4 separate regions of the Mus musculus genome follow, and regions 1, 3 and 4 are each reported to be linked to region 2. Evidence: microRNA targets listed by miRTarBase, many of them from high-throughput screens and not tested one by one. Region 2 holds a microRNA gene; each other region holds the end of a gene's coding sequence.

Region 1 (3,087 bases), not on the chromosome of region 2:
CAGAGCGGGGGAGTGGTGTGACTTCCCCGTCTCTCTCTGATGATTCTGGGTCACCCTTGATGCATTGGGCGAGCTTGCAGGGTGAGGAGGTGAAGAAGGAAGCGGCTGGAAGTGAGGGGTGATGCATGTTGGGGATCCAGATCTCTCATAAAGCTTTGCTCCCCAGGGTGCCGGACACATGGTCCCCACGGACAAGCCTCGAGCTGCTTTTACCATGTTCTCGAGGTTCCTGAACAAAGAGCCTTACTGATAGCTTCCGCTGCAACCCATGGAAATCCTCAGTACCTGATCAGCCCCTCTCGGCCTCTCTCAGCAGAGAGGAGTCCTCCGCTAATGCTCCCGTGGGGCAAGTCCTGTACTAAAACTGCCCAGACTTCTCACAGCCTGGTGCATCCCAGCCTGGGCCTCAGGGCGTCACAGACAGCCTAGGACCAAGTGAGCACTTTGTTCCGGCCATCGTGGGGTGGCCTGACCTCCCCGACTGCATAAAAACTGACCACCCCAGGACCCCAACAGAGCTAGAGAAACCCAAGGAGGGGGGTGGATGGATTCTAATTGATGGTTGACTAATTCTGGAATTAAATCGGGTATAGCTTCCAACTGGGCTCTTCTCTGTGGCACCGGGACCACTAACACTGTAGATGGGAAGGGGTTGGCAGGGGGTGCAGAGAAGACTTCAGTTAGGTTCCTGAATGCCAGCCACCCAGGTGGGGTGATGGGCTCAGGCAGCTGCAGCAGAGGGTGGGGGGACATGGGAGGCCGCAACGTCTGCAGGACGGTTCTTGTCAATCACTTCTCGAAGCCCTTTGGCAAAGTGGAGGTCAGCCCCAACAGTGACGAAGCCCTGCGGGAGGGGACAGGGAGCCTGGCTGGTTCAGTTGTTTGGAAACAGCCTCCAAACAAACACAAGACTCTTGAGCAAATCCCCTCAGGGGCCCCAGCTGCTTTGCGGCGTGGCGTATGTTCTCTGGAGCATGGCCCTGCTTCTAAGTTAAATCTTTACTACTTAAATAATATATATGTGAAGGAGCAACTAGTGTAAAGGGGTTTCGGGAAAACAGACAAGCACTGGGGTGTTGTAGGGACAGGAATGCCCTGGTCTACGGCCTCCTTTCCACAATGTACTTACCGCGTGGTTGGTCACCACCTCACGCACGAAGTTGATACCCTCAGGAAGGGGGATCTGCACCCCACGCCAGGTACGCTCTGTGGATGAGAGAGGCAAGCTCAGCCTGGGTGTCCATCAGTCCATCTGTGTCGTCATGTCCACCATCCACCGCCGTCCCCCCTTTGTTAGTCCGTGTCCCCACTCCATCCTCCCACCCTCAGTCCCTACCGTTCAGCAAAGGCATCACTCCGATTTGCAGCAGTGTCTTCAGTGGGGCCTGCAGTGGGATCAGCTGAGGGGGAAAAAAAAGGCAGGGGGGGGCGACAGACAGTGCATACAGGTTTGAGTGAGCGGCCAACTTGCCCCGAGGCCTGGACCCACCCTTTGCCATCCCCAACTCACCGCCAGAGACTCCAGCGCAGACTGATTTGAGTAGATTTGAAACCTGTGGGAGAGAAATACACCGTGAAACCTGGGAACACCCTTTCCTTGGGCCCTACCTAAAAGATGGCAGCAAGTGACAGCCTTCCCAGTTCTATCCAATCATCCTTCAGGTAGCTGCCATTTCCCAGGTGTGCATCCCTGAGTGCCTTTGGTCTCTGGAGCCCCCTTTCTTTAAGCCTACTGCTTTTCTTTTTTTTTTTCTTTTGTCTTTTTTTTTTTTTTTGAGACAGGGCTTCTCTGTGTAGCCCTGGCTGTCCTGGAACTCACTCTGTAGACCAGGTTGGCCTGGAGCTCTGAAATCCGCCTGCCTCAGAGTGCTGGAATTAAAGGCGTGCGCCACCACTGCCCGGCGCCTGCTGTTTTTCATTTGTCAGGAATGCCTATGTGCCACGCTCTGCGGCTAGGTAAATAAGTATGGTTTTATCTAAGGAAATTCCAACAATCTTTACTCTCTGTCAGATACCAAACTTATTCAAAAGAATTAAAATGGCTCTGCAAAATGGCTCAGTGTGGTGGGTAAAGGGCCCGACTGCTTGAGTTTGATCCCTAGGGCACACATGGTAGAGGGGAGACTGGACAGGTTGACCTTTGACCATCAATGCACTGTGTGACACGTGAGTGCCCTCACACATAAATGCATATGTTCATAAGCTCACACACACGAGTTAATTACAAAAAGGAAAGCCTGCCAGCTGTGTTGGCCCATTTCTTTAATCCCAGCACTCAGGAGGCAGAGGCAGGTGGCTTTCTTTGAGTTTGCAAACAGCCCCAGTGAGATTTTTTTTTTTTTTTGTCTCAAAATGGGTTTGAGGAGGGGCACAATACTGAAGAGATGGCTTAGAGGGCTTGCTGCTAGCTGGGCAGTGGTGGAACACGCACTTGGGAGGCAGAGGCAGGCGGATTTCTGAGTTCGAGGCCAGCCTGGTCTACAGAGTAAGTTCCAAGACAGTCAGGACTACACAGAGAAATCCTGTCTTGAAAAACAAAACAAAAAGGGGGGGGGGGGGAGGAGGCTTGCTGCTCTTCTAGCGGATCTGAATTCGGTTCCCAGTGCCCACATCTGGCAGCTCACATGGCTTATAACTCCAGCTTCAGGGTATCTGAAGCATTCTGATCTCTCCAGGCTCCCGTACATATACATATTACACACCACACCACACACACACATACACACCACATGCATACATCACACACATCGCACACCACACCACATACACACCATGCATACACACATTCCACACACATACCACACACTTATCAAATAAGAGGACAGGAGAAAGTTGATGGATGGTTCAGTGTCTAAGAGCTCATACTTCTCGGGGGAACCAGCACCCATGACACACAATTGACGACGTCCTGGAACTCCAGGAGAGGGCATTACTTTTGCACCTACATGCACACACACATACCCACACATACAAATTTGAGAGCTGCCAAGGTGGCACAGACCTTTAATCTCAACATCCTGCCATTAATCTCCAGACGCAGGGGGTCTCTGTGAGTTCCAGGCTAGCCTGGTCTACATATTAAGACCC
Region 2 (3,087 bases):
CAAGCTTTAGAAATCCGCTCTGCATTATAATAGCAAGATCAGCACAAAAAGTAGGAACTATAGAGGATCCTGCGAGTGTTGTTTGTGCCCCAGTGTTTGTTCTGGTCATCTCTGCCCTCGTTGGCTCAGAGCTGTCTTCACATTTCTGCTGTTTTAAAAAAAGGGGGGTGGGGAGTTTTGGATTGCTAGGGAGTCACTTACCCAGGTGAGCAGAGACATCTGACCTTGCTTGCAGGGTGGTTGCTGGGCCCGTTGTAGCAGGAGAAATGGCCTTTCCTTGGCCACAGCAAGAAAGCTTCCATGACCTTAATGTCACTTGGGGGTCCACTAGGCAGTTTGGGATGTGTGAACACAGCTGCTCTACCAGAGGAAGCCAAAATCAAAAGCATTTTGATTACCGGCACACTCAAATAGAATTGGGAGTGGGGCACGTGGAAACCAGGCTAGAACAAGCATCCCTGGGTGGTGGGCATGCCGGGAAGCTCTAGAGAAGGGGATGTGGGTACCTGGCCCTGGCTAGAAAGAAGGCCTCCAGCTAGGGCGAAGGAGGCAGACTGCAGCTGAAATGAGACTGAGTCTCGCTCGGCTCAGGGACGCAGCGCAGGCTCTGCACAGTACACAGGTTCTTGTGTCAGCAGGCTTTTCCTGGCCTGGGAATGCTCAGTTATAGATGCAAGCCCCTCCCTCTCCTTCACTTCAGGGTCTCCTACTGCAGGGGTCTGATTAGAGACCTCCCCATCTCCCCCGCTGCAGGGCCCTCTTCCCTGCCTGTTGGCTGCTTTCTGCCATTTCTGAGTAGACCTAGGTGGGAGCTTGTTGTGTGTGTCGCCCTCACGCCCGTGATTCAGGTGGCAGGGGCTGACTCTGTCCTTGCTCTTGGACCAGGAGCTTCACTGATGGCCGAGTTGGGCTTCCCACTTAAACTTGTGCCAGAGCTGCTGGGACCAGTTCCTGTGATCTGCAGGCAAAGGGACGGAAGTTTTATCTTCTGGAGCCAGCCCCTCAGCCTAGTCAAGGAAATCTGCACCCTGTTCAAGCTCCTGGGGTCTGTCTGCTCCTGTGTTGGAACTGGGGACATGTGAGATAGCAGTGGGAGAGGTTAGACCTAGAAAACCCATGGGACCTTCATAACCTTGTTGGTGGGGCCAGTCAGCCTGAGTCAGGTGAGCTGAGGCCAGAGAGCCAAGAAAACCGATGTATAGTCGGGGACTCACAGCCTAGAGGCCTTGTGGTCTGTGCTGGAGTCTGTGAGAAAGTTAATTCTCTGGGCAGCCTGAGGTCAAGACTTAGGCTTTAGCCTGTGTTTAACCCCCAAGTAAGTGACACAGGGTGTTTCTGCCGTGACTGCAGAAGGACCTGTGGCCTGGACAGAGCCTGGGCTTGGTGGCGGTGACAACATCACCTCTGGGGATTCGTGTGTCCTGTGGCAGCTGGTGATGGCCCAGTCTCCTGTTTCTCAGGGATACATCAGATCTGCTGCTCACTTCCGCCATTCAGGTCACTGAGGAGGCAGGGTGCCGCATCTGTCATCTTTGTCTTTTTCAAGCATGGGGCTTAAGTGACATTTTGTGCATTTGAAAAGTCATATCTAGAAGGGGATCCCTAGGTGGGTGTGACCCTTGCCTTGGCACCAAGGTGGTGAGAGCACAGCTGTGCAGAGCTGGACGGGGTGGCCACTATCCCTGTCCTCCAGGAGCTCACGTATGCCTGCCTGTGAGCGCCTCGGCGACAGAGCCGGTGTCCACCCCTGCACTGTCCACAGACCCTTGCCTGCAGACCAGGGTGCTCAGTCGCTGGCTGTTCATGCTGTACCTTCTTGAACTCGATTGTGCAGATCTGCAGGTTGTTCCGTGGATGGAGGGGACTCTGGTTTCTCTGTGCGGTGACGCAAGGCACTGACCCCTCTGGGGTCCTAATCATCTTAACCTACGCAGACACTGAGGGGGAGGGGAGAGGAGCCAGGAGGGAGCCTTCCAGGTCTCTCCCTCTGTGTGTGTCCTCTGTAGCACCAGTTGATTCTACTGCGTGTGACCTATGTCCTGGCAGTTGGTGTCCCTGGGTCACTTCTACATCCACTGTGTTTCAGTAATTACCTCCAAATAAAAAGCTTCCTTTAAAACAAACTCTCTCCCCTCTCTTCATTATGTTGTTGTGCTTTTGCTTTGTCTTCTGGAAATCTTGCTACCGAGTGAGTGCATAGCCGGGCAGCAGTCTGCTGAGGTCTGTGAACCGGAATGGGCTCTCAAGGTCGAACACCTCTGTGGGACCCTGGACTCGGGCTGGCTCCAACTGAATGGAGGAGGGCTGATTCTGGGCTGGGGAATGAGAACAGAGTCCACTGGCCTTGGCACCCAGCTCGTCAGCCTCAGCAGGCTTCGTGGTCTCCCCCCACAAACATCGCTGTCACTTGTAGGCCATTCCCAATGTCTGGGGAACAGGTATAGGGGTGGTAGGGACCAGAGACCATGCCCCAGCCTTGGAGGCACCACCTGGGTATGTGATAGACAGGCCAGGTGCTGGGCTCCATCGACCATCTGCTGTGCCCTTGGGACTCTGTCCTGTGTGAAGCGGGTCAAATGACTGGATTCCCTGCCACTCAGCTGCGCCCCCAGTACAGCTGCTCTGGTCACATGATGGGGTGGGGACAACAGAGGGTCCTTCTACCCTCACCTGTGTTCATCCTTACACCTGACTCAGTCATTCCAAGAAAGAAGGTCCTACAGAGCTGTGTGTCTGGCACTGGCTACCAGGGCCTCTACTGCCAAGGTCTACAACTAACCTTTGAGGGGTTTTTGTTTATGTTTGAGACAGACTTGCTAAGCTCAAGCTAGCCTTGGACTTTCAATCCTCAGGACATATTCACCAACCTCCTCCACAATTCCAAGAACGTTTGAACAAGATGTTTTTGAGCCCAGTGGATGCTCAAAAACGCTGGGCATTGACTGCCTCCCCAGGACAGCACAAATCCCTATTAAGAGAATATCCCCAGTCATACTGCCCCAGCACAGGTGATGCCCTGGCCAGGGCCAGCAGCTCCTTCTAGCTGTGTGGAGAAGGAGAACATCTCTCTGCCCTGTGAACTTCATT
Region 3 (3,087 bases), not on the chromosome of region 2:
TGGGCACCAGGCATGCATGTGACATGCATACATACATACATGCATACATGCATACACTCATATTTAAAGTCAACAACAACAACAAGACAAACATTTCCTCAAACACTGTTTAAATGTTTTCCTGGTTCATGTATTTACACAGTGTATCTTTTTCCTATCCTTTTCCACATGTCAGTCCTGGGGACTAAACTCGTATGTCATCGGGTTTGGTGGCAAGTACCTTTACCTGCAGAGCCATCTCTCAGCCCCTCGAAATTCTTACAGGGTTTGGGGATACAAGCTCATCAGCAAAACCTGTAAGCTTACATATCTCATCACCTGCCAAGAAGAATGAAGATCAAGAATAAGAATAAGATCATGAATAAGACCAAGAATAAGATCATGGAAGGAAGAGAGAGGAGAGAGGAGGAGACGGATGTAGATGCAAGTTCTGCTCTTTCAGGGTTCTAGCCTCCTTGTCCAGTCTGAGAAGAGAGGCACAGAGCATCTCAGGGGATTGAGATGCACAGCAGCCTTTGGCTGGTCCCAGATGTTCATCCCAGGTCCCAGACCATCCCTCTGCCCCTGCCTCTGTTCACTGCCTGAAAGCCTCAGAGTAGACCAGGGTGAGGAGCAGCCATAGGCTCCTATACAGCCCCGCCCCAACCTCCTCTTTTTTGTGGCTCTCCACTGTGCATGATGGCTAGCGCTGGGCTACACAGGCTGCAGCGGCTGCTCTGAGTCAAGTGCTGCTCCTCTCTCTTCCACAGAACAACACCACATGCCTCGCCCACCACACTGAAGTGCAGATGCCTATCTTAACTCATTCCCCGACAGCTGGACATAAGACCCTCATCAATGGCCATGAATCTGAACCCACTTATGCCTGTGCAAAAGTTACCTCTCAGGCTGGAGAGGTGGCTCAGAGGTTAAGAGCACTGCCTGCTCTTCCAGAGGTCCTGAGTTCAAATCCCAGCAACCACACGGTGGCTCACAATCATCTGTAATGGGATCTGATGCCCTCTTCTGGTGTGTTTGAAAACAGGACATTAAAAGAAATAAATCTTAAAAAAAAAAAAAATGACCTCTCCTCATTTGCTTCTTCAGTATCCCTAACCTTTGGATGTCACTCCTGGAGGATCATATCTCTTCCCCAAGGCTAGGAAGTTTGCAGGGGATGAAGGATGCTTTGAAGGCCAATAGCCAGATTTCTACCCTGGCTTGCAAGCCAGACCCCATGTATTGGGAACCTTTCTGTAGCACTCTGGGTTTGGGAGTTTGTTTGTTTCTTGTTTTTTGTAGGGTTGTTTGTTTGTTTGTTTGTTTGTTTGTTTGGCTTGGTTTGGCTTGGCTTGGTTTGGTTTGGTTTGGTTTGGTTTGGTTTGGTTTGGTTTGGTTTGGTTTGGTTTGGTTTGGTTTGGTTTGGTTTTTCAAGACAGGGTTTCTCTGTGTAGCCCTGGCTGTCCTGGAACTCACTCTGTAGACCAGGCTGGCCTCCAACTCAGAAATCCGCCTGCTGCTGCCTACTGAGTGCTGGGATTAAAGTTGTGCATCACCACTGCCCATCCTCCATTTTCTCTGGGCTCCCCAGCTTGCCTTTTGACTCTCCAGAGTTTGGAGAGTCTGGGTAAGAATCTGTAAGTCTAAGTCTGATTTCAAAGAATTCTTAATTCGAAGTGCACACTGTCAAGGAAGGAGAAGCAGTTGTCAGTCTTAGGACTGGAGGCTTCAGGTGAGAGGAAAGTTCTTTGGGTTCCCTTTCTCTGGATGCCCAGCCCTGAGGAGGAGGCAGTGGTGTTCCTGAAGCTGAAATCCTGGACGTCCAGAGCAGGCCAGGAAGGCCAGATGTGCTAGCTGGCACCAGAGGCACAGCACCCTGCCTCTGGTCTTCATTCTCCAGCAGGAGCAACCAGGAGAGGCCGGAGCGAAGAAGCAGGGAGAGATCTGCAGGGTAGAGAGCAGGGATGTGTGTGCTACAGGGCATGGCTCAAACCCTGACCAACACAGCAAGATGAGACCGGGAATGGGCAGCTTCTCTGAGCTCTTCCCTCCAAGCCCATGAGTTCCTTGGAGTTCATTCATCTCCAGACAACAGGCAGGGGTTTGGCCCATTCCCCAGAAGCCTGCAATGCAGGCAGAAAAACAAGGCAAGACAGTGGAGGCTGGGAGGGAAAGATGCAGAGAGCTGGGGAAGGATTAAGAGTGTCTTAAGCCCCACAACATTGTCACCTACTGTAACCTGCGTAAGTCCTGTAACTCTCTAAACCTGACCCAGCTTCAATAAACAATCATGCTTGCAAAAGCTGTCATGGGAACTGCACTCAGTATAGGTGGAATCATTATAGCCATTACAGTCATGGTGGGGGTCAGGGTGTGGAGGGCCAGCAGAGACAAGCCCATCACTAAACTAGGCTCTCTCCTGGCCATTCAGCCTGACCAAGTTGAAAAGGTGACCAGCTGAAAGAGAAAACAAACCAGATAAGGACCAAAATGAGAATACCAACTGGGGTAGAATGACAAAAGAGGGCCCAGCACATAGCATGACAGTTGGCACAAAGTAGGCATGCAATGAGTGTTTGTTTAGTCACTTTAGAGGCAGAAGGAGGCAATACCATCCATCAGGTATCATCAGAACATGTTGGACAGAGACATCAGTAGCTCTGGGAAGCAGAGAGGATGGGAACTTAAACAAAGCAGGAAACCCAAAAGGGCCAGAGCCAGATGCCCGGGGCTGCTCCCAGAACTAACCCTGCCAAGGCAGCTTCATCCCCTAGTCCCTTGTCCTGGCAGTCCCCAAGTTCTGTCCTTTCTTACATTGTTTCAGTCTTCATTATTATCGCGCAGTCTTCTGGCGTCACCTCCTCTTGCTCCACAAAGAGTTCTTTACATTCTCGAGCACCTTGCGGCGTGGCAGGCTCAGGATAGATTCCACAAGCTTTTGCCTCCAGCTCCTGCTCCAAGCTCCGGGCTTTCTGCAGCTCCCTATACAGCACGCAAGCATCACTGCGGGATACATACTCCCATCCGCTCTCCCGAACGTGGAAGAGGTCCACTGAGCCCCCTGAATAAGCATCACGGTGGGTGGCATGGGCCACAGCACAGCGGGCC
Region 4 (3,087 bases), not on the chromosome of region 2:
TTAATCAGAGTGTACAAGTGAAAAGAAACACTCTTCTGGTTCTTAGCACAGGAGAAATACACACGCATTCAGGCTGTACTTTGTTTTGTGTAGCATCTTTGATAAAGTACTTTTCCTCCAGCTATAACGTAGAATCTTCTGTGAAATGTACACGTGAAAATACGGTAAAGTCATAGTGTTACAAACCAAAGAAAATCACATACCATTAATAACTCACTTATCACATTTAGAACATGACATCTATTTGTTAGAAGAGTTCTTTGGTTCTTCTTATAAACACCCCTTTACCACTTAATGCGTTTTAACTAACAGTACATGTGAACACTAAAAGAAACACTCTTCTTGTTATTAGCAGAGAGAGGAACATGCATGCATTCACATTGTACTGTGCTTTGTGTGGAGTATATGTTATGGTTCTGTTGCAGCTATAATCTTAAAAAAAGAAATTAAGTTTCAAATATTTTTAATTCTCCAGTAAAGTATTTTCACAACCTATTAAAAATACAAATTTAACTGTATTTCATTTCTTTTTCCAGTAAAGACAGCATAAAATAAAGAGCCGCTGCACTCAGGTAAATGAATAATTGGCTAAGACTTGAGTAAGATGTAGAACATGAAAATGCATTTATAGTCCTTTAATCTTTTTCTTCCCAAGCTGACAAAATACAATTAAAGCTTCTGATATCTAGTTTCTTACTGTAGCTTATGAATTATTTAATTGAAAGTGTAGTTTCCTGTGATGTAATGCTACTTCAGGAAGTCCCTAAAATTATATTGGAGCTGTGACCAATCTATTCATTTACTCTAAACCACAAAACTTTCTGCCACTCTAGTCCTACAACTGTTTTTCTAAGACTTTAATAAAGAATGGACACAGGCCGAGCGGTGGTGGCGCATGCCTTTAATCCCAGCACTTGGGAGGCAGATTTCTGAGTTCGAAGCCAGTCTGGTCTACAAAGTGAGTTCCAGGACAGCCAGGCCTATACAGAGAAACCCTGTCTTGAAACAAACAAACAAACAAACAAACAAACAAATAAAAAAGAATGGACACAGGTAGTTATTAGGTTAATACTATATAATCTAGCATAGACAGCCAAACAATAAAGACCCTAAAAGAAAGTTTTATCATTTATTTGTCTAAGCTCTTTCCTATACAACTGAAATATTAGTCACAAATCCTATTTTAAAGCTCATCTTCTAAAACAAAACAACACCCCAAACCTAAATAGTGCTGACTCAACATTTTATTTCTACTTTACTCCTAGTGCTTAGTCTAGATGTCTGGAGTAACATTTAGACATGAGAAAAGTTCAGGCATCTCAAGTCAGAAGTAAATATTTGTTAAAACCTTTGAGAGTCAGGGCCATGCCTCAGTGGTAGATTATTCAACCCCCTTTCTCAACTGAAAAGTTACTACTGAATGTCAGAAAAATCAGCCTAAAAGATAAATGAGTACCGTAAATGCTTCTCTCTATCTTAAGATGAAAAGATACATTACTTATTATATTGTCATTTCAAAAAAGGGCTTCCTAGGAAGTCTTTAGTGCTTCTGTTCTGAGCAGATATTGGGTTAGACATGGTTTAATATGAACTCCTCCAGAATTATTTATTTGATAAACCTATCTATATGAAAGAAGCAAAACCCAAATCACTTTTTATCAAAACCCACAGCTGTTAGTAGTGTCTATAAATGAATTCTGTGATTTATTTCTGACAGTTCTAATCTGTAGTATATTCACAGCAAGCGTATAAAGCTTCCAATTCTATGGGGAAACACATAAAATTCACTATTAAGCAAAAAAAAACAACCAAACAAAAAGTCATCGTATTTGAAATAGCAAGCAAATTATAGTCTCAGTAGTGAAAACCACAAGAAATCTATCCAATGTGACAGACATATTTCAGTTACCTTGGGTTTTTTTGGTCCTTTTGTTATTTTGTGTTTTTCTTTCCAGAGCTGAGGACCGAACCCAGGGCCTTGCAAGCAAGCGCTCTACCACTGAGCTAAATCCCCAACCCCGACAGACATATTTCAAATATTTAATGTATAACCTGATTTTGGAATTTACAAAAGTAATTATCTTATATAGAAGCAGAAAATTCAGGATTAAAAATCATTACTGCCAGAATTGATTATATCATTAAGTATAATCTTAAAGGACTCCTGCCTTAGTTGGAGGAAAAGAACAAAAATCCATATATTGTGACTCGCTCAGGATGAGATCTAGCTATATATTGTGACTCGCTCAGGATGAGATCTGTGACACTGTAAGGAGGTTAAGAAGCTGTCAGTCAGAACCATCTTCTTCACAGTGCTCCAGTGACCTCTTAAGAACACACTTTTATAAATACAATAAAAGATAATACTATCAATTATTTGCTGGTAAAAACACATCACCTAAAGTAAATTCAACACTGGACATAATACAGATGAGAAAATTTTTATTATTTAGTTTATTTATAAGGTTAAAAAAATTAGCCTTTTGTCTGTTCTTATAAGTAGATGTTATCACTCAATTTTTGAAGACTTCAAGTCAACTAACTCAGAACTTTAAGAAGCGTTAATGATCCCTTCTGAGGCAGCTTGTGTGTTCTACTGTTCATCAAATTTACTGTTCCAATAAGCCTAGGGACTGAGATAAGATGGAGCTGACAACTATCTCCATAATCTTAAAAACTAGGTGAAACAAATGTCCTCGTGGTCCACAAGACAGTCAAGTGTAGACAGATCACTTGACTAGCAGCTAGCGTGTGACTACATAACTTCTAGCAGCAGAACACTCGGCACAGCCACGAGCAAATGCTTTCATTCAACTGCAAATTAATTTCTCTGTAAGAAATGATTTTTTAAAATACTCTAAAATATTGTTCACCTGCCCACAAACATGAAACACATCAAAGATCTTGTTTGTCTCCATTTTTCCCTGTAGAATCAGGTGCACTGGAAACCTTATTAGTTTCAACAAAAACAGATTCAAAGGCAGCTTCCTGTTCATCCAAAGGATTGGTGGTAGTGACTCCTTTAATTAATGTTGGGTTGGTAAAAGACTGTTGTTGCTTGAGCATTGTACTCGATTCTATTGTTTT

What was found. The annotated mature microRNA mmu-miR-339-5p reads UCCCUGUCCUCCAGGAGCUCACG and lies in region 2 at 1,680-1,702, shown strand. An mRNA with a match to its seed (bases 2 to 7 or 8) in the 3' UTR can be bound and repressed. Matches are read on the target gene's strand: a 7mer-m8 pairs with bases 2 to 8, a 7mer-A1 pairs with bases 2 to 7 and ends in A, and an 8mer does both.
Region 1: miRTarBase lists Ctsa as a target of mmu-miR-339-5p. Seed matches in the 3' UTR shown: 8mer at 856-863 and 7mer-m8 at 1,778-1,784.
Region 3: miRTarBase lists Psmb11 as a target of mmu-miR-339-5p. The part of its 3' UTR that is shown has no 7-base or 8-base seed match.
Region 4: miRTarBase lists Pex13 as a target of mmu-miR-339-5p. Seed matches in the 3' UTR shown: 7mer-m8 at 994-1,000.

The regions. Positions count from the first base shown.
Region 1 is chr2:164,838,985-164,842,071 of GRCm38, forward strand. Ctsa (cathepsin A) reads left to right here. Exons shown (of 15, transcript NM_008906.4): 15 at 167-2,048. The coding sequence ends at 250. Pltp (phospholipid transfer protein) reads right to left here. Exons shown (of 16, transcript NM_011125.2): 13 at 1,511-1,553; 14 at 1,337-1,400; 15 at 1,130-1,206; 16 at 534-844. The coding sequence ends at 722. Among named protein-coding and RNA genes, the nearest start is that of Ctsa, 6.8 kb to the left of the region's middle.
Region 2 is chr5:139,368,323-139,371,409 of GRCm38, reverse strand. Mir339 (microRNA 339) reads left to right here and starts at 1,665; the gene lies at 1,665-1,760. The region is part of intron 2 of 3110082I17Rik (RIKEN cDNA 3110082I17 gene); the gene reads left to right.
Region 3 is chr14:54,625,938-54,629,024 of GRCm38, reverse strand. Psmb11 (proteasome (prosome, macropain) subunit, beta type, 11) reads right to left here. Exons shown (of 1, transcript NM_175204.4): 1 at 1-3,087. The coding sequence ends at 2,790. Among named protein-coding and RNA genes, the nearest start is that of Psmb11, 2.2 kb to the right of the region's middle.
Region 4 is chr11:23,646,397-23,649,483 of GRCm38, forward strand. Pex13 (peroxisomal biogenesis factor 13) reads right to left here. Exons shown (of 4, transcript NM_023651.5): 4 at 887-3,087. The coding sequence ends at 2,896. Among named protein-coding and RNA genes, the nearest start is that of 0610010F05Rik, 14 kb to the left of the region's middle.